7 linked regions of the Sus scrofa genome follow. The protein of the gene in region 4 interacts with the protein of the main gene of each other region in a biochemical or structural test. Links are inferred from orthologs where the notes say so. Each region holds a gene or a part of one and is shown on either strand. Other genes may lie near its edges.

What was found.
Region 1: the proteins of LRRK1 (region 4) and VGLL4 form a complex in vitro, tested with the Homo sapiens proteins (2 studies listed by BioGRID and IntAct, with this or other methods). The link is inferred for Sus scrofa from reciprocal best matches to the Homo sapiens genes LRRK1 and VGLL4.
Region 2: the proteins of LRRK1 (region 4) and ABL1 form a complex in vitro, tested with the Homo sapiens proteins (2 studies listed by BioGRID and IntAct, with this or other methods). The link is inferred for Sus scrofa from reciprocal best matches to the Homo sapiens genes LRRK1 and ABL1.
Region 3: the proteins of LRRK1 (region 4) and FOXP1 form a complex in vitro, tested with the Homo sapiens proteins (2 studies listed by BioGRID and IntAct, with this or other methods). The link is inferred for Sus scrofa from reciprocal best matches to the Homo sapiens genes LRRK1 and FOXP1.
Region 5: the proteins of LRRK1 (region 4) and FGFR2 form a complex in vitro, tested with the Homo sapiens proteins (2 studies listed by BioGRID and IntAct, with this or other methods). The link is inferred for Sus scrofa from reciprocal best matches to the Homo sapiens genes LRRK1 and FGFR2.
Region 6: the proteins of LRRK1 (region 4) and SNX21 form a complex in vitro, tested with the Homo sapiens proteins (2 studies listed by BioGRID and IntAct, with this or other methods). The link is inferred for Sus scrofa from reciprocal best matches to the Homo sapiens genes LRRK1 and SNX21.
Region 7: the proteins of LRRK1 (region 4) and FLT4 form a complex in vitro, tested with the Homo sapiens proteins (2 studies listed by BioGRID and IntAct, with this or other methods). The link is inferred for Sus scrofa from reciprocal best matches to the Homo sapiens genes LRRK1 and FLT4.

What each region holds. Positions count from the first base shown.
Region 1 is NC_010455.5:67,737,707-67,741,206, reverse strand, and holds part of VGLL4 (transcription cofactor vestigial-like protein 4), read left to right. Parts: intron 1-2,459; coding exon 2,460-2,649; intron 2,650-3,500. UniProt on the Homo sapiens protein: May act as a specific coactivator for the mammalian TEFs.
Region 2 is NC_010443.5:270,873,141-270,876,640, reverse strand, and holds part of ABL1 (tyrosine-protein kinase ABL1), read right to left. Parts: intron 1,913-3,500; coding exon 1,739-1,912; intron 894-1,738; coding exon 598-893; intron 1-597. UniProt on the Homo sapiens protein: Non-receptor tyrosine-protein kinase that plays a role in many key processes linked to cell growth and survival such as cytoskeleton remodeling in response to extracellular stimuli, cell motility and adhesion, receptor endocytosis, autophagy, DNA damage response and apoptosis.
Region 3 is NC_010455.5:52,367,774-52,371,273, reverse strand, and holds part of FOXP1 (forkhead box protein P1), read left to right. Parts: intron 1-2,365; coding exon 2,366-2,567; intron 2,568-2,671; coding exon 2,672-2,751; intron 2,752-3,351; coding exon 3,352-3,453; intron 3,454-3,500. UniProt on the Homo sapiens protein: Transcriptional repressor. Can act with CTBP1 to synergistically repress transcription but CTPBP1 is not essential. Plays an important role in the specification and differentiation of lung epithelium.
Region 4 is NC_010443.5:139,612,626-139,616,125, forward strand, and holds part of LRRK1 (leucine-rich repeat serine/threonine-protein kinase 1), read left to right. Parts: coding exon 1-21; intron 22-972; coding exon 973-1,124; intron 1,125-2,911; coding exon 2,912-3,029; intron 3,030-3,500.
Region 5 is NC_010456.5:131,187,502-131,191,001, reverse strand, and holds part of FGFR2 (fibroblast growth factor receptor 2 precursor), read left to right. Parts: intron 1-1,635; coding exon 1,636-1,773; intron 1,774-3,500. UniProt on the Homo sapiens protein: Tyrosine-protein kinase that acts as a cell-surface receptor for fibroblast growth factors and plays an essential role in the regulation of cell proliferation, differentiation, migration and apoptosis, and in the regulation of embryonic development.
Region 6 is NC_010459.5:48,036,608-48,040,133, forward strand, and holds the end of SNX21 (sorting nexin-21), read left to right. Parts: intron 1-1,959; coding exon 1,960-2,634; 3' UTR 2,635-3,026; downstream 3,027-3,526. Other genes in the region: ACOT8 (acyl-coenzyme A thioesterase 8), read right to left, coding at 3,144-3,262. UniProt on the Homo sapiens protein: Binds to membranes enriched in phosphatidylinositol 3-phosphate (PtdIns(P3)) and phosphatidylinositol 4,5-bisphosphate. May be involved in several stages of intracellular trafficking.
Region 7 is NC_010444.4:78,093,008-78,096,507, forward strand, and holds part of FLT4 (vascular endothelial growth factor receptor 3), read left to right. Parts: intron 1-247; coding exon 248-416; intron 417-729; coding exon 730-847; intron 848-2,977; coding exon 2,978-3,142; intron 3,143-3,223; coding exon 3,224-3,385; intron 3,386-3,500. UniProt on the Homo sapiens protein: Tyrosine-protein kinase that acts as a cell-surface receptor for VEGFC and VEGFD, and plays an essential role in adult lymphangiogenesis and in the development of the vascular network and the cardiovascular system during embryonic development.

The sequences.
Region 1 (3,500 bases), on a different chromosome or scaffold from region 4:
AGGATGCCTCCCCCCCCCAGAGAGGTGGACCACCTGGTTCCTTCATGGGTCCTTTACTCCCCAGGTGACACATCTCCACTTTTCAAAAGATAGCTATGGACGTTCTTGGCCAGACCTCAGCAATTTGGTCCCAAAGGTAAGTGATAGCTCTGCTGGATGAACTTAAAATGCCAACAAGCCCAAGAACTTGTCCAAGGATTGAAATTGGGGGTGGGGCAGGAATGCTGTGCCGACGCCAAGGATTTTGCACGGGTGACGAGTGACTCTTCCTTTTGTGGAAGGGATGTGATGTTGCTGTGGTGGCAGTTTTCCATAGTAATGGCTGTTGCCACACATCTGGCACCTGATAATATGGCTCCCAAAGCCCAGGGGTCCACACAGAGCACTCCTCACCCTGAGTCTCCTGCCAGGATGTGGAGAAACCCTGGGGAGGAGGGGGTGCTGGCTCTGTACCTCCTGGAGGCTTCACTTGCAGTTGCTGTGTCCCCCCAGGTATATTATCGGGGCTCCTCCAAAGGTTAGCATGGCTGCCACCTTCCCCATTGGAAATGTCCTGTCCCCTTTCTGTGAGGAAGGAGAGGTCAGGACAGAGGGGTGGCTATGGGAAAAAAGTTTCCTCGTTTATCAAGGTATCAATATAAGTGCTGCTATTTGTTTGTCAGAACCAAAAATGACTTAATAGAAAATAGAGGTCAACCAAAATCCACTGAATTTCTGAGTGTAGCAGGCCAGCATAGGGCTGGGTTTTTTGATTTTTTTTTTAAGGTATTTTATTTAAAATGGAAAGTTCCAGGAGTTCCCATCGTGGTGCAGTGGAAACGAATCCAACTAGGAACCATGAGGTTTCGGGTTCGATCCCTGGCCTCGCTCAGTGGGTTAAGGATCCAGCATTGCCGTGAGCTGTGGTGTAGGTTGCAGACTTGGCTTGGATCCTGCCTTGGCTGTAGTGTAGGCTGGCAGCTATAGTTCCGTTTCAACCCCTAGCCTGGGAACTTCCATGCGCCTTGGGAGGGACCCTAAAAAGCAAAAAAAAAAAAAAAAAAAAAAAAAAAGGAAAGTTCCAGTTCGCCATGGGGCCAGAATCCTTAAAAGAAACCCTGACTGGAGGTGTGTTAGGGGGTCACTGTATACTTGCTCATTTATATCTTGCTGACCAAATTGGCAAAATTTTTATTTTTCCTGGTAAACATTAAGAAGGGTCCTTTTCAACCTCACTCTCCCTAACAAAATCTTATTTGTCATACATGCATGAAGTAAATGGCTGTTGAAACAGTCCACACATCTGTAATGATATGAAAATTAGTGTAGCAAACAAAGATTTCCTTTCTTAGGTACCACAGGCCTCAGGCAAAGTCAGCTCTATCCTAATAGGACCCTCAGATTGTGACCAAGTGGAAACAAAATTGGTCAGGCCTCAGAGACCAATACAAACAGCACAACAAAAGGGTTATTATTTGTGAAAAACTTAGGTTTGCCCCACGATGTGACTTAGTATGCTTGAAGTTTTCTATTAAAGTAACTTACTCTTGTTTATGAGTTTTAGAAAGTACATAACCGTTCTTGTGAAAGGTTGGGCTTATTTTAATTCATAATGCAGCACAAAGTTATCGCTTTGCCCAAAGCCTGTCTCAGACAGAACCGAAAAACACCAAGATGTTGAATCAGATTGAAATGTGATCACGGACGTGTCTAACTTTGAAAATGTTTTGAGAACTGCACCTGTGCGTTAAGTTCCTGACAAATTCTACACAGAAACTTGGTGCTGATCATAATCATAATATTTTTAACATGCCTTTTTTAGTGTAAGAATAAAATATGTTTGTTTTTCATTAAACAATGTGTTTTTTAACTTGGGGGGGCAAATATGTGAACTATTAACCCATAAATTTTCCTCATTCTTAAAAAAAGGGGGGTATCCAAAACATAATAAAAATGTAACAAGCAAGAAAAGTGAGTTTAGTGATTTAATGAACCCACTGTTAGGTCATTTTCTTATATGTATGGAGTTGAATACCTACAAATCAAAAGACCTTTCATGTTTTAAATTAACTTTTGAGATGGTTTATGGTCAAAACTCCCTCTCCCTGCAGTTTTACTTTATTGCAACTTTTTATTTTAAACTCTACCCTAAAAATCTGCTCCTGTGACTTGATGGAGGTGTTAGCGGTGGTGATGTTTTGCAGTATGTTGTTCACCTGAAACTTACACAATGTCGTATGTCAATTACATCTCCGTACCAGCTGGGGAGAAAAGAAGGATTGTGCTGGGAAACCACATTTATGTACAGTGTCTCATGCTTGGCAGCTCACCATGGGCCCGGCCGTGTTTTGAGAATGGCAGGCAGCCCGTCACAGTGCCAGAACTTTCCACTGGGAGCTCTTTGGCGTGGCGCCGGGGGCCAGGGGCCGGGCTGGGGGCGTCGCTCCTGGTCCGTGACACGAGTCTCTCTCTTTTTGCAGGTGAAGCTGCTCTCAGGGGGGAGCCCCGGCTGCAGACTCTCCCCGTGGCCTCGGCCCTCACCGGTCACCGCACGGGGCCCCCGCCCATCAGTCCCAGCAAGAGGAAGTTCAGTGTGGAGCCCGGGGACGACGACCTGGACTGTGAGGGCGACCATGCTTCCAAGATGAGTCGCATCTTTGCCCCCCACCTGTAAGTTCCCTGTCTCTGAAGCGAGGCCGCTGTTCGATTGCAACTTGGGGCTGACTCTGAAGGCAAGGATGCCCACTACTAGGCTTTTAAACTGATTTGAGTAACTGGGGAAACAATGGCCTCTTATCTCCTCCCAGCTAGCTTGTGCCACCACTTGCGTGTGTTCCCTGTGGGCATTAACTTTCTTGCAGGAGTCTTGGGGCGTTTTTCTGAAAACCTTGCTTGTTTCCGCCTGTACCACTCATGCTGGTTGTTGGGAGGGTAGATTGAGTGTGTGTTGATGTGCAGGTTGGTGCTGGGAGTGGGGTGATTGGAGGGGGCGGCCGGCAGCTGAGCCATTGTCTCTGTGAAGTGTCTTGCTCAGGAGTCTCGAGTTGTACCCGTGAACAAGTGCGTGTTCTCACCTTGTGTGTTCACGGTGTACGCTTGAACCTTCCCAGAGTGGGAGAGATGGCTTCCTGTGTTTGGGATGAGGAGGAGCCCTTAGGTGGGAGGTACCCACGCCTAACGCCCTGCACTCCAGTGTTCTTATTTGTGATATGAAGGCCTCCGACTCCGTGCGACCTCCTTGTGCTTGTACTTGGAAACCAGTGTGAGTCCATGCGCAGTGTTGTGACTTCTCCGTTGCATTTCTCACACATGCATCTCGCAGAGGGTGTGGGGTGCTTCTTCATGTGTGTGCAGGACTTGGTGGCACCAACCAGGCTCTCTGGTCAGTGGGTGTGATCAGAGTCCTGGCCTCATGGCAGAGGGGGGATCACTCTGACTGAAGGCATAGCTGTCTGTCTGGGTCAAAGGCCCTGCTCCTTTCCCCTCCCCCTGCGTGAATTACTGTTTAGTGATCATTCAGG
Region 2 (3,500 bases), about 130 Mb from region 4:
TTATTTATTTGTCTTTTTGCTGTTTTTTGGGCCGCTCCCGTGGCATATGAGATTCCCAGGCTAGAGGTTGAATCGGAGCTGAAGCTGCTGGCCTACACCATAGCCACAGCAACGCAGATCCGAGCCGAGTTTGCAACCTACACCACACTCATGGCAACGCCAGATCCTCAACCCACTGAGCAAGGCTGGGATCGAACCCTCAACCTCACGGTTCCTAGTTGGATTCGGTAACCACTGAGCCACGACGGGAACTCCAAGGTGGCTTTTCATTTTAAAGATAACATCTACTGTGTGGATTTTTCTCCCTGAGGATAAACTACTATCACAATAAGAGATTTTTTTAAAAAGGAAGAGACTTAATGTAAGAAGTATGTGCACGGTCAGCTCGGGAAGCTGTTAACAACAAAACTCCAGCAGGACAGAGAACCGCACGAGCCTATGGGAGCCTGTGGACGTACCGTCACACGCTCGGGCCTCAACAGGCTACCGGGATGACGCTGGTCCCAAACGGCTCCTTGGCTGAGCTCTGCTGCAGCAACTCATCAGCCCAGCAGCACTGGCTCCCTGGCCCACCAGCTCCCGGGCGGGGCGCCCTACCTTGCCATCGGAGGCAGTGTTGATCCTGTAGTGGTACACTCTCCCTTCGTATCGCAGCGAGATGGACCTCTGCCCGGGACTGCTCTCGCTCTCCCGAACCAAGAAGCTGCCGTTGATCCCGCTGCTCAGCAGGTACTCGGCGGCGTTGCGGGACACGGGCCCGTGGTACCAGGAGTGCTTCTCCAGACTGCTGACCGGCGTGACATAGTTGCTGGGGACCCAGCCTTGGCCGTTTCTCGTCTGGGCTTCGCACCACTCCCCATTGTGGTTGTAGCCCAGGACCCGGAGCTTTTCCCCTGGGAAGGAAGGGACCAAGTCAGACGGCTTGGTGTGAAAAGCTACTTTTGCTCATTCTCATTCATTCTGTATGATTACTAAAAATCTTCAAATTCCGAAATACCTACTTCATGTTAACAAGTCCACATCAATATACACGGATACGTGAATAAGAGTACATGTTTACATACGAAGCTTCCTGTTTATACTGGATATACAGATAAATACATAGCCTCCGTTTTTTTGGTTTGTTTGTTTCTTTTTTTTACAAATCTATACTCAAGTGCTCTGTTCTTAATATAAGGAAGCTTTCTGGGAAAAATACTTTTTCTTTTTTTTTTTTTTGTCCTTTCAGGGCGCACCCACAGCATATGGAGGTTCCTAGGCTAAGATTGAATCAAAGCTGTGGCCGCTGGCCTACACCACAGCCACAACGTGGGATCCAAGCCTTGTCTGTGACCTACACCACAGCTCACGGCAACACCGGATCCTTAGCTCACTGAGCGAGGCCAGGGATGGAACCCACGTCCTCATGGATGCTAGTCAGATTCATTTCTGCTGAGCCACGATGGGAACTCCCCAAAATACTTTTTCTTAAAAAAATAAAAAGTGCCTTCAGGGTTTGATCCAGATGTATTCTTCAATTTAAAATAGGGAAAGCTGCTGCTTTTGCTGAGAACTGCACAGGAACTTCTCCTTAAGGAAAAGGGACCCTTTTATAAAGACACTGTTAGTTTTGGGGGATCTCTCTGTATTCCAAACTTTAGAGCTGCTCTTTCAACCAGCAAAGGGTGGCTAGTCAAGCCACAGCTATACCTGCTTTCTGTCCCTTTCACCCATCACCAGCTGCCCACACCTCCTTTACCTTTAGTTATGCTCAAAGTGTTATCCCCACTGGCCACGAAATCATACAGTGCAACGAAAAGGTTGGGGTCATTTTCACTGGGACCAGCGAGAAGGTTTTCCTTAGAGTTCCACCGAGCTGCTTCACTCAGACCCTGGGGCTCGAAGTCAGATGCTACTGGTCTCTGAAGGGCTTCTGGAAGACAAAGACGGAAAGAGAAGAAAGAAACAGGAGAAAGAAGAATTGGGGGAGAAAAGTATTATTCTCAGGAACAAAAAAAGTCTACACTCCCAACATTATACATCCTTAATTCATTTCTTTCTTTTCTTTTTTTTTTTTTTGTCTTTTTGCCATTTCTTGGACCGCTCCCATGGCATATGGAGGTTCCCAGGCTAGGGGTCTAATAGGCGCTATAGCCACCGGCCTATGCCAGAGCCACAGCAAGGCCAGAGCCACAGCAAGGCCAGATCCGAGCCACGTCTGCAACCTACACCACAGCTCACGGCAACGCCAGATCCTTAACCCACCGAGCAAGTCCAGGGATAGGACCCGCAACCTCATGGTTCCTAGTTGGATTCATTAACCACTAAGCCACGATGGGAATTCCCTCATTTCATTTCTTAACATTTGCACATATTATGTTATTAAGAGTAAAAGTGGTTTAAAAAATGGCAACAATCTTTGCCATTGCTTATGTTATAAAAACGGAGCAAAAATGTCCTGCTTTAAAACATTTAAAAATGTATGAAAGTTAATATATGCATATAATTTAAAAATCACATAGTACTGGAGGGCTTATGAGGACAAACAGGTTCCATCCCAACCTTCTCCACACCCAGAGGCAACAGCCTTTTTTTGGTGATCACGTCCCTCTCTGTAAACATAAGCTGTGTCACTATAATCTTTGCATTTTCAGTACCAGACTTATGCTTTTCTTTTTTTTTTTTTAAATAGTTATTTCCCCAGTACACTTGTTTTTCTCCTGTACAGCAGGGTGACCCAGTTGCACATACATGTACACTTTCTATTTTCGCACGTTATCCGGCTCCATCCTAAGTGACTGGACAGAGTTCCCAGTGCTACACAGCAGGCTCTCATGGCTCATCCACTCCAAAGGCAAGAGTCTGCCTCTATTAACCTCAAGTTCCCCGACCACCCCACTCCCTCCCACACCTTTATTTCTTGTTCTCCCTGCTGGTGACAGTGTCTCAACTATTTACCTCACCAGGATATTAACATCCTACCCTTCCTTCTAGCCCCCCCGCCGCCCAAGTACGGCCTCCTTTCTTTTTTTTTTTTTTATTTTGTGTAAAAGAAACTCTATTTTCCTATTCTGTAATAATAAAGTCTTTCATTTTTGTAAGTAGATTCTAAAGTTGAAAATCAACCGACATCTTTTATATGAGGAATGTGTATTCACTACAGCATTAAATATGGTTCATTATTTTTTCCCCTGAGTTCCTTCTTGTCTTTTTTTTTAAACCATGTTCAAACTCTCCATAATTCTTGATGATGATGACACTACACACAAGGGTTCTCTCAAGCCAACAAAACTGACTCCAAGTAGATCTTAACGCTTATAGAATATTGCGGCGTGAAGTCCAAATACTCTTTTGAGGAAACTGCAGTGAGAAGTCAGCCTTTTAAAGAGGAGGAAGAGGGACAGCCCTCACGTGGAGTGAACAGAAGGGTCGACCGTATGTTTAGGTGACACACAAATGGCAACAAAACAAAACTTTCAATGTTCCTCCTTCATGGATTTAAAGGACCCCAAACATCTCTT
Region 3 (3,500 bases), on a different chromosome or scaffold from region 4:
GTTTTCTGGTTGTTGTGCCTATTTTCCTTTGATCATTGTCTACATTTCATGGTAAGCCCTCCAAGGGCAGCCATTGTCTGTTCTATTCCGGTTTTTGTCATTTCGGTGCCCAATGCTATAGGTTTGCTCACAATATTTATCAAATGTTATTTATCAGCAGGGATAAAAGCCATTCCCTGAATCCTTTCCCAAAATGAGCATGCAGAAAAATGAACCTGGCTAGTATTTATTTTTCCCGTTTTCTGGACATAAGGAGAGTATTATACAAAGGGCCTAGAATCACAAGTGTGTATTTGATTTTGAGTCTGTGTTGTGAATATGGGCAACTTATTTAATCTCTCCCGAGGCTCTGTTTGCTTATCTGTAAAGTATGAATAATAACATCTCAAGTATTAGTGATGGTATGAGAATTAAGTGAAACCGCTCAGTGGCAGGTAGTTTACAAGATGACTTTTACAAATGGTACCCGTGACTCTGCCGAGCGTTCTGATGTTCTTAGACCTAACGGCATCTGCATTTTAAAAGCTGTGTATTTATGAGCACTAGCCTTTCGTGCACTCATTTCCTTGACCCGTTGCTGGGGCTGATGCTTAGCCATGGTGTTCCTGTACTTGGTGAAGAAGGCCCAAGGCAAAGAGGAGGCCAGCCCCAGCCTTCCTCCTTAGCTTTTCTGCCCTCCTTCATCTCATGGCTGCTACCCTAGACTTGGTACTTACTGTGCACATTTGTGTCATGAAGTCAAGTCGCTGGCACTAATTAAAAAAAGCAGCTCCCAGCATCTGCCCAGCTTGCTAGGGTGGGAGGGGTGGGGGGTCCTCAGGGTGGTGCCATCTCCATAGCTTGCCCTTATCAGGCCTGGGGGAGAAAGGGGCTGGAAGCAGGAGGGATTTGGTGTTGGCTGCGTTGGCATTTCAAGGGAGGGATATAAAGGAAAGCACAGCTCAAAGCTTGCAACCCAACATTCAGTTTCCAGCACCATGTTTACATTTTCCCATTAATATTTCCTCAATGATACTTGATCTCTCTCTCATTACTAGAGTATGAGTAAGGTTGAGTCTTCCCAACAAATTGGAACTCTTTTTTAACCTGTCCTTTGATTATGATCTCAGAGGCATTTCATTTTTAATGCTTTCCACAAATAATGCCCTATACTTAGGACTTGTTACAGTGGTGAAATGGCCAAATTTATTAAGTGATTCAAAATCTGGCTTGAGAAAATGATATCAAGTAAGCCTCCTTTACTGCACGTTTTTGGATTGGGGGCAGCTACAAGTTTCTGAAGTTGCAATTCTGGATAGACTGAAGAAAGATGTTGGAAACAACCAAGGTCGTCAGCGTAGCCAGATTTACTGTTTCAATAACAGTGAACTTTACCAGTACTAATAAGTGAAGCACCTCAAGGTGCAGGCGAAACAGGAAGAGGAAAGGCAGGATCAAAACAGTATACATTCCTTTTCCTCTGTACTACTTCAGATAAGTATTTACTTCCTTACTTGAAGCAATGGATTATTCCCCTTGAGTACTACACATTTGAAACTGGAAGGAGAAAAAAATGAGAATTTGTATAGTTCCGGATCTCTCCTATGACATATTCTTTTTAAGCCAATAGTTTAATGAAGATTGCACATAAAGCTTGCAAAGATTAGTCTCTGCCAACTGATGGAACTAAATGAATGTTTACTGGATCAGTGCCACTCTTTTTCATAGGAGTCACAGGCCAATTCTCTCTGCAGCATTTTCCATCCGTGAAGTTGCATCGTGGAGTTGAGGTAGCCCACCCCATTGCTGTCGAGGGTGGTAGTGGCTATACACCAAACTTTCCTTTTTATTAAAATTAAGTAAAACCAGTTTCTCACTTGGACTGGGACATTACAGAAGGTTCTGTTGAAGAGCCCAGGTCAATACCCATGTATATCCCAACTGGTGCTTCTTGAACCATTTGTGTTCAATGATGCTACAGGGACCCATCTTTCCTCTTGGAGGTTTAGGAGGCATAGCAAGCTGTTAAAAGGGGTGTGAAGTCATGATTAAAGACATGTTTTGACCCAGAATTTCTCAAACTCACCCAGCTAGGGAACCCCTTTTTGCGTCTGCAAACACTTACTTAATGGTCTTTGGAAAACACCTGTCTCAACAACAGGAAAGGAGAACATTGCGAGAGGTATTTTCAACTAACTACCGAGGGAACTATTTTTATGTGGGAACTCAAGTCTCCTTTCAGTTGCCGATAAGTATCTACTCTGAGACATAAAACGAGCCGGCCTCCCCCCCGCCCCACCCCGTGTCATTCCTGCCAGATTTCAGATGCTTTCTTGGCTGCTCTGTTTTTCTGAAGGTCTTCTAAGAAGTGTTCCTTTCCTCACAGCTGAATCTGGTCTCCAGTGTCACACTCTCCAAATCGGCGTCAGAGGCTTCTCCGCAGAGCTTACCTCATACTCCTACGACCCCCACCGCCCCCATCACTCCCGTCACCCAAGGCCCCTCCGTCATCACCACCACCAGCATGCACACAGTGGGACCCATCCGCAGGCGGTACTCAGACAAATACAACGTGCCCATTTCTTCAGGTAGCTGCTCCATTTTTGCCTTGGGTGGAATTGTAGTCAGCAATTCTTGTAGACCAGCCTCTTTTTAAAAAGTGATAATTAATAGGACAATGATTCTTATTTAGCAGATATTGCGCAGAACCAAGAATTTTATAAGAACGCAGAAGTTAGACCACCATTTACATATGCATCTTTAATTAGGCAGGTAAGTAAATAACACAGTATGTGAAATTATATCAGAAGGTATATACGTGGGCATGGATATATTGATGAAGTAGATTTAAAACCGTTTAGTATGCAAGCATGCTAAAACCTTTTCTATAAGGTTTTTTAAAACCGCAATATATAACATAATTGCTTTTGATTAAGTATTACAATACGATGTGATTATTAGGAAATTCATTTCACACAACAGTGAAAATGAGCCTGTTTAAAGATGGCAAGTCAATTATCACAAGCTACAGTAATCTCTGATCCCTAGAATTAATCTGAGCTCTAAATAATTACTGAGCTTTAATCAGCTAGTGAAATGTTTTGCATTTCTCTTTGATTCTGCTTTATGAATGACTAATAAATTAATATTTCTGTACGGAAACAGAAATAAAAACTCAAAACAATTAGATAATTCCATTTTGAATTTTGCTATTGAACTGGTAAATACAACCATTAATCTTAGATCATTTTGTGAAACCTTTCTTAGGATTTAACTCGGTAGCATGATGATTTTATATTTTCAAGAGACTGTTTAATGACATTTCTGCTGACATGGTCAAAATTATCTTTTTCTGTCACTTGTGCTTCACAGGCCATTCTCGAATCTCCAGAAAAGCAGCTAACACTAAATGAAATCTATAACTGGTTCACACGAATGTTTGCTTACTTCCGACGCAATGCTGCCACATGGAAGGTAAGCTTTCTTGTAGGCCTCTTTAGTCTGGGGTCTTGCCATTCATA
Region 4 (3,500 bases):
TGGGACACGAAGCCTGAGAAGGTACCTGGGAGCGGAGCCTGGGGGCCCACAGCTCCTGCCAGGGGTGGAGGCTGTGGGTCTCCAGAGTGCACATGTATTGGAGCTCTCTGGTGGTGCAGTGGGTTAAGGATCCAGCATTGTCACTGCTGTGGCTCAGGTCACTACTGTAGCATAGGTTTGATACCTGACCCAGGAACTCCCTTATGCTATAGGCATGGCCAAAAAAGCAAAAAACAGCAAGGCTGAGGGCATGTGTATAACTGCCTGCCCACCCTTCCCTAAGGGTCTAGAATAAATGCAGCAACACTTTCCTACTCACCTCTTCTACCAATAGATGTTAACTGCCTTTAATACACCCAGTTCATTTTCTTTGCATGGGTGTTGCTCTCAGGAAAAATGAAGTTTCTTTCCCTCCCAGTATTCATGTTACATCATCCTGCAAATAAACCAAACCAACCCTTTTATAGCAAGACAGCCCCTGAGCAAGGGCAGAGAGAACGTGTGTGCGCGTCTCTCTCCAAAGTAATGGGAGGAAGGTTTGCTCCTAAGAAGCAAGAGCCATGTTACCATTTTGAAGCTAGTCCTTTTAGGAAGAGACTGGTGGTTTTAAGATTAAAACTCATTTATCAAATTAGATGGTGCTAATTTAATGTGTTGAGGATAAATGAGATCCGAGAAAAACTCTTTAGAAGATTGTTTGTCCCTGGACTTGGGGCGGGGGTGGAATATCAGAGGTTAGGCTGAGCTGACCCCCTTTGAGTTCATGGACGACAGTCACCATCCAGACGCAGAGGCAAAGGGTTTGTTTCTGGCATTTGAAGTTGTTTCGGCCTCTTGCTTTGACTGGGTCCTGAATAAGCAGCTCCACTACTTCCTTCCTGGTTCAAGACCCTTAGTGTCTCAGACAGGCTGAGCATCCATCTGGTTGAAAACCGACCCTTGTTTACAACCCTGATGGCCTCTCTCCTGCAGCGACCGCTGGCCCTGGCAGTGGTGAGCCAGATGAAGGACCCGACCTTCGCAACCTTCATGTACCAGCTGCCCTGTGGGAAGCAGACGGCCTTCTTCTCGTCCCAGGACCAAGAGTACATGGTGGTGTTCTGGGACGGGAAAGAGGAGTCTAGGTAAAGCCTGAGGTTTACAGGGCCCTGCTGGTATCAGAGTTAGGGTGGGGGGCGCATCGTGGACTTGGGGAGCAGTCGGGGACAACCATGATGAGAGATGTTTAGCAGACAGGGCTTGAAAGCCTGTTGGAGCCTGCTCAAGAGAAAAAACAGTCTACATGCCTGCAGATGGGCACGCGTGGGTTTGTGGATAAGAGAAGCAGAGAAAAGATGTCTGCTGAGGATGGGGGGTTAAAGGCGAGGGGTTGTTTTAAGATGGGGGAGTTATTTGCAGCTTGAGAGTAGAGGTGAATGATACTGGGAGTCGGGAGAGAGGACAGGGACTAGAGTGGAGCTGCCGAGTAGAGACGAGGGAAAGGGCCCCAGGGTCCAGCAGGAAGGGTGCCACTAAGTAGGATATCATGTGCTCCCCCTTTCAGGTGCATCTCTTTTTCTCAGTGAAGTGGCAGGAAGGGCAAGGCCATTGGGGAAAGGCTCAGAATATTTGAGGAGAATGACAGAAAGCCCAGGGATTTGGAAAGGTAGCATCAAAGCCTTGGCAATGTCCAGGAAAGCCCCATTCTGTGCAAGACCCTTCAGTTCTCGCCAGGGCTGTGACCTCTCCCACCTACCTAGTGTGATATCTTCAGAGGCAAAATAGCATTTTATGGCATGAAGAATCTTCTGGAAAGTCTGGTGGGAACACTAGAAGTTGCTCAAATCTGAGCGGACGTAGATAAAGCAAAGCTTAAGATGCAGTGAGATAAATGAAAGGGACTGGAAGTAGTTCTGGCCAGAAGCACAAGGGCAGTGAGCCTGGGAAGTGAGACTGGAGAGAAAATGAGACAATCCGAGAATGAAGGAAGGGATGGGGGGAGAAGGAAGGGATGGGGGGAGAAGGAAGGGAGGACATGCCAAACACAGGACGCATGTCACAAAATTCTTGTTGGAGGGAATAGGGGTATTTCACCCTTTAAGTCTATATTTTTCTTTTTTTTTCAAGTTAAATGTAAAGTGATTTGTAATATCCTAGTTTCACTTTTTCAATGCATAGAAAAAAGACTGGGAAAAAAGGGGGGAATATAAACTTTGAAGGAAGTTTTCATTTGGAGATTTTTCACTCAGCTCTCTCGTCTGTAGATACATGTTCTCAGTCAGCAATGGCAAGGGTTTCTGAAATGTGCTGACAGAAAAATTTTACATTGAGAACTGCTACCCACTCACTTGACTTATTTCCTTGGACTGGGGACAAGGTCCCATCAAGGACATCCAGTGATGCAGGGGGTTGGGGGTGGTGGTGAAGGGCTGTATTTATAAAACACAGCTTGTTAGTTCTTTGTAGAGAACTCATTGAGGCCCCAGTATACTCTGAAATTCCCCTGTCTTGTCTCTAGTTGACCCGGTATTGTCTGCTGTGGGGGATCCCCCTTTACTGGGGTAGGGACAGACATGGCCAGTGGAGGGTGGGGCAGGGAGTGGCCTGCGTGCAGTACAGCCTCCTAATGTCTCTTTCTGCTTTAGGCATGACCTCAAAGGTCGCAGAAAGAGGAGGGTCCTTCTTCCCCTTGGGAATGGCCTTCCTGCGCCTAAATGTTCAGGCATTACCAGGCAGACGAACCAGGCTCTGCTCCAGCCACGAGCAGTCCTTGAGTCTCTCGGAACAGGCAGAATTGGACTCTGGGCTGGAAGGGGTGGCCAAGGGCCATGGCAGCTGATGTCCTCCTCTAAGGCTGCTACAGGCCAGGCCAGGGAGAGGGAGGGGACCCCTGACCGGCATGAGCTGACCACATGGTTGTTGCCCATTGTAGGAACTACACAGTGGTGAACACAGAGAAGGGCCTTCTGGAAGTGCAGCACATGAGCTGTGCTGGAATGAAGTTGAGCTGCCAGCTCAAGGTCCAGAACTCTCTGTGGACGGCCACTGAGGTAACAACCCCCTGCAGGGCTCTCCTCAGGGTGGATGACACCAGCCCCTGGTGGGGGGGGTAGGGGGGCATTTAGCAACTAAACATGCAGGACAGGACACCTGGGTACATTTGAGGTTTAGGCATAACCCCAGCCCACACCCGTGAGACCCCAGGTCAATGCCAGCAGCCCAGTTGGCAAGCAGCATCTCACCAGGGGCAACTCAGCCTGCTTTGTCCCTGGCTGGTGACTGGGGTTCAGCTGTGATAGTGTCAAGGGCAGAATCCCAGCAAGAGAACCCCAGCAGGTTGGTGAAATGACTGGGTTTCTTATAACCCTGCCGTGTCTACGCAGCAAATCCACTCAGCTATGAGGCCCTTTGCTTTCTTGTAAAGAGGTCAGCAGAAGGCAGAGGAACTGTCTTCTGAGGAATCCAGAGAGGAATGCCCCAAAACAAAGTCTCTGAAGCTGCTCTTGGGGGGGGGGGTATAA
Region 5 (3,500 bases), on a different chromosome or scaffold from region 4:
AATGTCATAGAAATGGAGGGAAAACCATACAGTATTTCTAGGACGAGACACGTAAAAACACTACCAAGGCCAGGCTCCAGCTGGTGTTTCAGAATTTTAGCTTTGGAAATGGGGTTGAAAGATGTTCCCGTTGTGAGAAACTGGGTGAAAGGTACAGGTGGTCTCACTGTTATGTTTTTGCAAGTTCCTGTGTATCTGTAATTATTCCAAAATTAAAAAAAAAAATCACTCGAGGAGTTCCCTTGTGGCTCAGTGAGTTAAGAATCCAGCATTGTCACTGCAGTGGCTCAGGTCACTGCTGAGGCACAGATTCGATCCCTGGCCCAGGAACCTCCACATGCTGCAGGTGAGGCAAAACAAAACAAAACACACACACATTTGAGCTACTCTGATTTGTGTGGGTGGGAGGGTCTCTGGGGCAGGCCTTGATCCCAGGCTGTGTATAGCAGCTGGGGGTCTTCAGTGATCCGAGAAGGGGAAGCCGTGTGCCTCCCGTTTTGCAGTGAGCAGATGGCCTGGATTGTGCTGCTGCTCTAGCTCCACACAAAACTGAAGGCAGTTTCACATCTGAAACCCACCCTAATAGAATCATGGAGGGCGTGTTTCCAGTGACCCAGGCAAATGCGGGATTCTCAGCTTGATCAGCCCGGGAGCTGTCTCTTGAACAAGGCTCAGAATCCAGCTCTGGGCCTCTGCGAGGTCCGGTGTAAACTGTGCCCTGTGGGGTGTTTTCCGCTTCTGTTGTTTGACAGTCATCCCGGGCACAGGATGCCACGTCCTAATCCCTGCTCGGCGCTAACTTCCTTTATGACTTGAGTAAGTTGAGAACATTTGTGCCATCAGATGAACCACTGGCCACCTTGGGCAGCTGTTACCTCGCAGGATCAGCACGCTGGCCTCATTCTGTTCACTGCCCATACCCCATACCGCCCTGGGGTCAGGTACAGAGGCTGAGGGAAGAACTGGACAGGAGCATAAAGAGCTTTGCAGCTTGAAATTCATGCTGCTCACGCTGCATTAAGACAAAGAGTTTTAGGAGTTCCCGTCGTGGCACAGTGGTTAACGAATCTGACTAGGAACCGTGAGGTTGCGGGTTCGGTCCCTGGCCTTGCTCAGTGGGTTAAGGATCTGGTGTTGCCGTGAGCTGTGGTGTAGGTCGCACACGTGGCTCGGATCCGAGTTGCCGTGGCTCTGGCGTAGGCCGGCGGCTACGGCTCCGATTTGACCTCTAGCTGGGAGCCTCCATATGCTGCAGGATCGACCCAAGAAATGGCAAAAAGACAACAACAACAACAACAAAGACAAAGAGTTTTAGCTGAGAGTGATGGAAGGAGGGGAAAAAAATCTCTAGCAATGGCCCTCGGCCCCCACCCCCGCCCCAGCAAAAAAAGAACAGGGATGGTTTTTACCATCAGTTACCTGTTGATGGAAAATTCCATTGGAACATCCTTCAGCAACATCATTTGGGGATGCTCTTTGGGGGGCAGGAAGAAGCCTGCTGCATGAACTGCAGGAGGGCCCCCGGTCATTTGTCTTTGAATGCAAGATGCCAGCAGGCGTTTATTTTCTTAACTGGGCGTGTAAGGTTTCTGTGTTCAGATGGCTTAGTAATACTGTCTTCTCCCTTCGTTGCAGCTGGTCCTTCGGGGTGTTAATGTGGGAGATCTTCACGTTAGGGGGCTCGCCCTACCCAGGGATTCCCGTGGAGGAACTTTTTAAGCTGCTCAAAGAAGGACACAGGATGGATAAGCCAGCAAACTGCACCAACGAACTGTAAGAGCCATCACCTCTCTCGACGCCCCAGGGGACACGCCACACCAGTAACTCTCCTCCTGGCTGGTTTGGTTTTCTAAGCATGTCCTAAAAGAAGAATGGCGCTGGCTTTCTGGGCTCAGCCCCAGAACTGAGCTAGCTAGCTCCACTGACGGCCCTGACTGTCCGAAAGAGAGAGCATCCTTGTGCGGTGTATGGAGGGAGCTTGAAAGCACGGGCTGTGGCTGCCTGGCTGACGGCTCCTGACTTGGCTCCGAGAGCCCAGTGGTCCTCCCAGGCCACTGTGCTGCCCCTTGCTGTTGTCAGAGCAAGGTCCAGCAGGCCTTTTCTCATCCACAAGCTCGAAAGCCATGGGGTCGTGCCCTTCCTCAGGGGTGGTGCCCGCCCCTGCCCCAGCACATGGGGAATGGGTGCTTCTTGCAGCTTCTTTGTGACCACAGAAAACAAACAGAGCCACAGACACAGAGAACAGACTTGTGGTTGCCAAGGGGGGCAGGGGGAAGGGGTGGGGTGGATGGGTAGTTTGGAATTGGTAGATGCAGGCCGTAACATTTAAAATGGATAAGTGGAGTTCCCATCGTGGTGCAGCAGAAATGAATCCGACTAGGAACCATGAGGTTGCGGGTTCGATCCCTGGCCTTGCTCGGTGGGTTAGGGATCCAGCATTGCCGCGAGCTGTGGTATAGTTTGCAGATGCAGCTCGGATCCTGCATTGCTGTGGCTCTGGTATAGGCCGGAGGCTACAGCTCTGATTAGACCCCTAGCCTGGGAACCTCCATGTGCTGTGGGGAAGCATCTCTAGAAAAGGCAAAAAAGACAAAGGAAAAAAAAAAAAAAGAATGGATAAGCAATGAGGTCCTACTGTACAGCGCAGGGAACTATATCCATTCTCCTAATGGGAAATAATATAAGAAAGGAATATATGTATGTGACTGGATCAATCACTTTGCTGTATTGCAGAAATTGGCACAACACTGTAAATGAACTATACATGAATGTTAAAAAAAATGTTTAAAAAATTGCTATAATAGGAGTTCCTGTTGTGGCTCAGTGGGTTAAGAACCTGACTAGTATTCATAAGGAAGCAGGTTTGATCCCTGGCCTCGCTCAATGGGCTAAACATCCAGTGTTGCCACAAGCTGTGGTGTAGGTCACAGACGCAGGTCGGATTCCTAGGGGCCGTGGCTGTGGCATAGGCTGACAGTTGCAGCTCCGATTCGAACTCTAGCCTGGGGAGCTCCATATGCCATGGGTGCAGCCCTAAAAAAAAGAAAAAAATGTGCTCTGATCGATAAACATTGACCACGTTCCTCAGCGTGTACGTTACCCATGTTTTAGTGCAGAGAATTAAATCTTTGTCCAGGGGCCATCCTTCGAGTGCCCCATCCGACTGGAAAGCCGTGAGCCGGTTTCTAGCAAAACCTACTCCTTGCTTTCCGTGGAATTACATTATCTTGTTGTCATGCGTCTCGTGCAGTAAAATCACTGCTTTGAAAGGAAATCTCTCCTCCCAACCCCAGAATCAACTGAGACGAGGGATTGTCCCAGAGACCTTGGACTCTTTCATGGGGATCTTATATCAGTAATCCTGTGAGTGCTTTTTGGTACCACGGACATCTGATGAATGGCCACATTTTATAGTATATTATATAAAAACATTTATTGTGCTCCTTGTCATTCCCGTGCTCTTTCTACTCGAGAGGGTCTGTCGAAACCCATAATCAAGA
Region 6 (3,526 bases), on a different chromosome or scaffold from region 4:
AATCGGGGTTTGGTGTTAGTCGGCTTTTGACATCCAGCGCTTGCTAATCCCCCTTCACACCTGTTCATTCGGTCAGCGTTATTATAGATTAATACATACATGGTTTTTCTGACCGGGGAAGCTTAGAGGTCATTTTGTTCAGTGTTTCCCAAACCTCCAGCACCACCTTCACGATTCTTGTCCTATCTAATTGCTATTTGTACCATTCTGTGCTCAATATTTTTCTTCAAATAAGACTATTTTTTAAAATAAGTTTAGGACGTTCCCATCATGGCTCAGCAGGTTACAAACGCGACTAGTATCCATGAGGATGTGGGTTCGGTTCCTGGCCTTGCTCAGTAGGTTAAGGATCTGGTGTTTCCATGAGCGGTGGTGTAGGTTGCAAACACGGCTTGGATCCCCTGTTGCTGTGGCTGTGGCGCAGGCAGGCAGCTGGAGCTCTGATTCGACCCCTAGCCTAGGAACTTCCATATGCTGCAGGTGCTGCCCTAAAAAGCAAGAAATATATATAAATAAATAAGTATAAAAGACAACTTATAGCACAACTGTATGTGGAAAGCCTCACTTGCCATAAAGAGAAGATAACGTAAAAATAAAAGCAGTGAGGGAACCCCTGCCACGGCACAACAGGATTGGTGGTGTCTCTGCAGCACTGGGACATAGGTTCAACCCCTGCCCCAGCACAGTGGGTTAACGATGCAGCGTTGCCACAGCTGTGGCATAGGTTGCAATGGCTTGGATCTGATTCCTGGCCCAGGAACTCCATATGCCATAAGGCAGCCAAAAAACAAACAAACAAAATTAAATAAAAGCAGTGAGGAATTCCCTGGTGACTCAGTGGGTTAAGGGTCTAGCATCACTGCTGTGGTGTGAGTTTGATCCTGGCCTAGGAACTTCTGTATGCCTGGGCACAGTCCAAAAAAAAAAAAAAAATTATAAGAATAAAAGCAGTGAAAGTAAAAGTGTCTCTAAACTCTGCCTGGATGCTGGTGCCTGAAGAAGGCCCTGACCTGAAATTCACTTTGTCTCTTTTCTAAAAATGGAGACAAGAGTTGGAGAAAGGCTTTTTTTAATGGCCTCTCCTGCAGCATATGGAAGTTACTGGGCAAGGGGTTGAACTGGAGCTACAGCTGCTGGCCTGCACCACAGCCACAGTAATGCCAAATCCTTAACCCACAGAGTGAGGCCAGGGATCGAACCCGCATCCTCATGGATATTAGTTGGGTTCTTAACCCCCTGAGCCACAACGGGAACTGCAGAGAATGGCTTTCTTAAACCAAACTGAGAGCTTCTCAATTCGTAGTCAGGCCCACAGAGAATTAGAAGGGGCATCACCTCCTCCCTCTGATTCAGTATTACTTGCTCCAGTACATACCACCTAAGATCTCAGGTACATGCACGGCCCACACTTGATAAACACTGACCCGGGCCAACGCTCCATCTACCAGAGCTGGACGCTGACCCGAGGTTAGAATTTTCCACAGTGGTCACTGTCTGAAGGCCTGTCTCCCAGGTGTGGGTTGGAATAACCTGGCTAGGGATATGGGTTATGTGTGCAGAGTGGAGTAGAGCTCCAAGTTAAAGGTTGGCTCTAGAGGCCCGAGATGAGCCTGGGTTCAGCGCCCCGCTGGCTCTCCAGGGGACTGTCAGAAGCATTCATGGCCCTGCGGGTAGGGAGTTCTCCCTAGAAGGGGCAAAGGGGGCGGCTGGTCTGGGCACTGAAGCTCATCTCTGTCTTTTTCTCCCTGTGCTGCCTTGGGCCTGGGTCATTTCAGACGAGCCTCAGGTAAGACGGGGCTGGGCTTCCCAGCTGCAGCCCCTGTAGCTCCCACCCTCCTGGGCGCCCCCTCTCGGGAGTGAAGGGAAGAGGTGGGGGAAGAGAGTTGGCAGTGTGGGGGTGGGGAGGCCAAGGGACCCAGGGAGAACCTGCACCCGCCCTGACCCCCACCCTCCCCGCAGCTCTACACCCTCGCCGTGATGGGCCCAGGGCCGCCAGATCGCCAGCCAGCCCAGATCTCCCGCCGCTACTCGGACTTTGAGCGGTTGCACCGAAACCTGCAGCGGCAGTTCCGGGGCCCCATGGCTGCCATCTCCTTCCCCCGAAAGCGCCTGCGCCGGAATTTTACTGCAGAGACCATCGCCCGCCGCAGCCGGGCTTTCGAGCAGTTTCTGGGCCACCTCCAGGCAGTGCCTGAGCTGCGCCAAGCCCCAGACCTGCAGGACTTCTTCGTGCTGCCTGAGCTGCGGCGGGCGCAGAGCCTCACCTGCACTGGCCTCTACCGAGAGGCTCTGGCACTCTGGGCCAACGCTTGGCAGCTGCAGGCCCAGCTGGGCATCCCCTCGGGCCCAGACCGCCCTCTGCTGACCCTGGCGGGGCTGGCCGTGTGCCACCAGGAGCTAGAGGACCCTGGGGAGGCCCGGGCATGCTGTGAGAAGGCCCTACAGCTGCTGGGGAACAAGAACCCTCACCCCTTGCTGGCACCCTTTCTGGAGGCCCACGTGCGGCTCTCCTGGCGCCTGGGCCTGGACAAACGCCAGTCGGAGGCCCGGCTGCAGGCCCTGCAGGAGGCAGGCCTGACCCCCACGCCACCCCCAAGTCTCAAAGAATTACTCATCAAGGAGGTACTGGACTAGCCTGGCCCAGACCTGAGGCCACTGCAGGGAGAGGCACTGCCCCAGGGTGAGGGGTGGGATGAGGGTGGATGAGGACATGGACAGTAGTTGAGAGGCTACCAGGGGTGCTGGGAACCCCCAGAAGTTGTGCAAAGAATTTGAAGCAGACTGAGGAAACGCGCTGCTTCTGTTGAGAGCTGGGCTCAGGACAAGCTTTGGCTGGGATGGTGCAGGGAGAGAGTCTGATGCCGCTGCCCCAGGTTGGGGTCAACGTTCCCTTTCCCTTGGGCCTCCAAACCCATAGGCAGCCTGGCCAGAGGGCCAGGGACTCTGCCCCAGGAGTCCTGGAGTCGATGGCTGGAGGGAGGGCTGCAGTTCTGGCCCCAGGGGGATTAAAGACGGCAGCTCCAGTGGTATGAGTCTTTATTGGATGTCAGGGACAGAGGGCTGGCCCTGGACAGTAACTCCTGCCTCAGGAGTGGGGAGAGAAGGAAGGTCCCTGAAGTGCCAGGCCAAGCTGGTACCTCTGGCTATAGCTTGCTCTTTGAAACCTTGGGCTTCACTCGGATCACGCCCTCCTGGGCACAGGACACAGCCAGGACCCCGTCCTGACGCCACAGCCGCCCATGAACCAGGGCCCGGGAACCACCTGCAGGCAAAGAGAAGGGTGAGAACAGCTACCCATCTCCTTCAGCACAGCCAAGCGCCCCTTGAAAAAGGTGCATCTCGGTCTGGGCGGCCTGCACCAGGGCTGACTGCTATGGTCCCTTCTGCAAGCGCCGCTCCCCTTAAGGAGCCTGTTACGGCTGGTCGTCAGGGTAGCTCCTCCCACGGGAATCCCACTTGCTGGTCTGAAAGCACTTTCACACATCTGATGGCTTCCTCAAAAAAATCCCAAGGGGAGAAGTTCTGA
Region 7 (3,500 bases), on a different chromosome or scaffold from region 4:
GCCCGAACCATCCCCAGGATCCCCATCTCTGCCCACCCTGGTCCAGCACACACGTAGAGGAGGTGCAGAGCCAGTCCTGCCCCCGGAGCCCTATCTGATAGGGAAGTTTTCCCATCCCAAGGAAAACTCTGGGTCTGGCACAAGGCTTCTGTTGCTACTTCTGGCTGGATGAGGGTGTGTGCCTCTGATGGCTGGTTCTGTCAGAGCCAGCCCGCTCTGACCCTACACTTCCCCTGGTCCCCGGCAGGCAGAGCGGGGTAGGTGGGTGCCGGAGCGGCGCTCCCAGCAGACTCACACGGAGCTCTCCAGCATCCTCACCATCCACAACGTCAGCCAGCACGACTTGGGCCCATACGTGTGCCAGGCCAACAATGGCATCCAGCAATTCCAGGAGAGCACTGAGGTCATTGTGCATGGTACGGCCTGTCAGGTCATCGTGCCCAGCATAGCCTGGGCTAGGGCGGGTGTTAGTCATCAAGCCTGGGGAACAAGGGTTCTTGTACAGGGTGGGCCCAGGGTCAAGGTCTGTGGTGCATCTGAGCAGTGTGGAGTCCAGCCAGTGGGAAGGGAGGGCCGCGAGTGGACAGACTGCCCAGCTCCCATGCCCCAGAGGACAGGGTGAGCCCCAGCCTGCAGGCATCTGGCCACTGAGGGTGGCTCTGAATCCCTGCGTGGTGGCGGGTCAGCGACATCAGCCCCAGCTTTACCCTGATGCCTCCTGTCTGGCAGAAAAGCCCTTCATCAGTGTCGAGTGGCTCAAGGGTCCCGTCCTGGAGGCCACAGCAGGAGACGAGCTGGTGAAACTGCCCGTGAAGCTGGCCGCGTACCCCCTGCCGGAGTTCCAATGGTACCTCCCTCACTCCTGCCCATCACTACCTACCAGGTCCAGTGTAAGCAAGAACCACAGGGAGGGACAGGCAGCATTCTCCCCATCAAGGCCCACTTCCTATGACCTGGATGGAGACCCCTCTGGGCCTGTGCCCTGCGTGGGGAACCCTGATGAATATTCTAAGGGAAGTGCGTATTTTGGCCAGAGAGAAGGGTGACCTGGATCACTGCTAAACTCTGAAAGGGTGTAAATACCGGCCTCCCGTTATATGTGGGTGGGCATAGCACAGGGCTTTATCTAGCTGTCGCTGCCTGCACCCACTCAGCCTCCTGAGGGCCGCAGGTAGAAGGTATCATAGAAGAATGGCTTCAGGTTTCTTTGGCTCCTCTCCAAACAGCTGGCCAACCCCAGGATGCTTCTAACCAGACTTTCGGAGATGTTACAGGGGTTTCCCAGACGGTCATGAGCTGGGCTGGGCCTGAGCTGTGTACAGCAGTGAGTTCTAGACTCTGACCTCAGAGTAAGGTGTCCCTTGCAGGGTAGGCCAAGGGTCAGTGAGGGGTCCTTCAGTGGTGGCTTCACCCTCACCAGGTGCTCCCCGAGAGCTCAGGAAAGTACAGCACCCCACCATGTACTCTGGGGCCGTCTGAGCTGTCCACATGGGCCAACCCTGGGAAGTCACGTACTAGGCTGACTCCCATCATACACATGAGGACAACAGGCCAGGAAGGAGGAAGTGCATTCTTACCTGACCTCTGAGCCTCCTGAGAGGCGTCTACTCCACCCTTTCACAACTGGCCAGAGAAGTCCTGCCTTCCTGGTCTGGGGCACTTCCCGCCAGGCAGGATGACCTTCTCTGCAAGCCTATAGCAGGGCAAGCAGAAGCCCCCTAGCCAGCACCCACTGCACTGACCAGAGGCTAGAAGCAGGCTTCTCCTGGGAGGGCCCCAGAATGCCCTGGGCCTGGGCTTGCTATGACCCTACCTCTGAGGCCATAGGCTTTGGAGTCCACTGGGGCACCTGGTATGGGACCAGGACTTGTCTCTAGAGACACTGATGCATGATGCAGTCTGCCAGCCTCCCTCACAGGGGTGGAGACACCCAGGGCCCTGTCCCCTGCCCTTTAAGAACAGCAGTACTGACTTTGTCTGGGAGGGTAACTGGCTCTGTTGCATAGAGGATCCAGCCCAGGCCTGGTCCTCAGGTAACTGACTGCCTCTCACCATTCCCACCACATCTGGCCTTTCTTTTCTCACTTGGCCAACATCTGCCTCCAACGAGTGCTTAGCTGGGCCCACTGTCCACTGAGACACCTGTCCCCGGGCACTAGTGACGACCATAGCCCCAAAGGGGCCCACTTGTCTCAGTCATCATAGAATGATTATGAGTAAGTAATGGATGGAGATCCATGGGTAGACAGGCCAGTCCTGGCTCCCAAAGCAGCCTCTGTGTGTCTGACACTAAAGTCTCTATCTTGGGTAGACCTGAGAGCACCTGCAAATAGGTTCCCTGGTTTTCAGATGAGGACATGGGGGCTTAAGGACAGTGAAGCCCTTTGCCTAGGATCACAAATGCAGCAGATGGCAGACAGGATTCTGCACCAGAGCCCAGCAGGCCTCATGGCCTGGGTCCTGCCCTGCCCTGCCCTGCCTTGCCCTGCAGTGTGATCCTAGGCAAGTGATGTCTCTTTCAGTAGGGCTCTGGCATTGCAGCCGAGAGCCATTCCCCTGCCTCCCCTTCAGTGTCACTCTGTGCCCATGGGCTATGCTTCTCGCAGAGTCTCTCCTTGGAAAACCAGGGGAAGGCACCCAAGGGACTGCCCCTCTACCCCTTCACAGCACACACCTCTGAAGCCTATGAGAAAGAGACAAGGCCCCCATGGGGACTTCAGTTGGTCCTGAGCCTGTAGGTGTTGTGAGACCCAACAGGTCAAGCCTGGAGACCATGCACATGGCCTGAAGGCCATCTGCTCCCCACTCCAGTCAGCTGCCTCAGCGCATACCCCTGCCTCGCTTCCCAGCAGCCTCCCGGTCTAATGCAGGAGGTGCCTCTTGCTCCTGGCCTCTCCCGCCTCCAGACAATATATTCTGGGGCTAGGGTGCCACAGGGAAGGAGTGCACGGACCCCTGAACTCCCTTCCTGGGCCAGGTATAAGGACAGAAAGGCACTGTCCGGACGCCACAGCCCGCATGCTCTGGTGCTCAAGGAGGTGACAGAGGCCAGTGCGGGCATCTACACCCTTGCCCTGTGGAACTCCGCGGCCGGCCTGAGGCGCAACATCAGCCTGGAGCTGGTGGTGAATGGTATGGGTGGGTAGACAGGAGAGGGGCTGGTGGGTGGACGGGGGGTGTGGTGGCGGAGGCTGGCTGACTGGCTGGCTCCCTGTGTCCCCAGTGCCCCCCACATCCACGAGAAGGAGGCCTCCTCCCCCAGCATCTACTCCCGCCACAGTCGCCAGGCCCTCACCTGTACTGCCTACGGGGTGCCCCCTCCACTAGGGATCCAGTGGCACTGGCGGCCGTGGACGCCCTGCAAGACCTTCACCCAACGCAGCCTGTGAGTGTGGCTCTACCCTGTCCGCCCCTACCTCCCATCCCCCACCCCCCATTCCCAACCCCACTTACTGCCTCCACCTGTCCCCAGAGCCCTCCTCTAAACTTGAATGCTAACA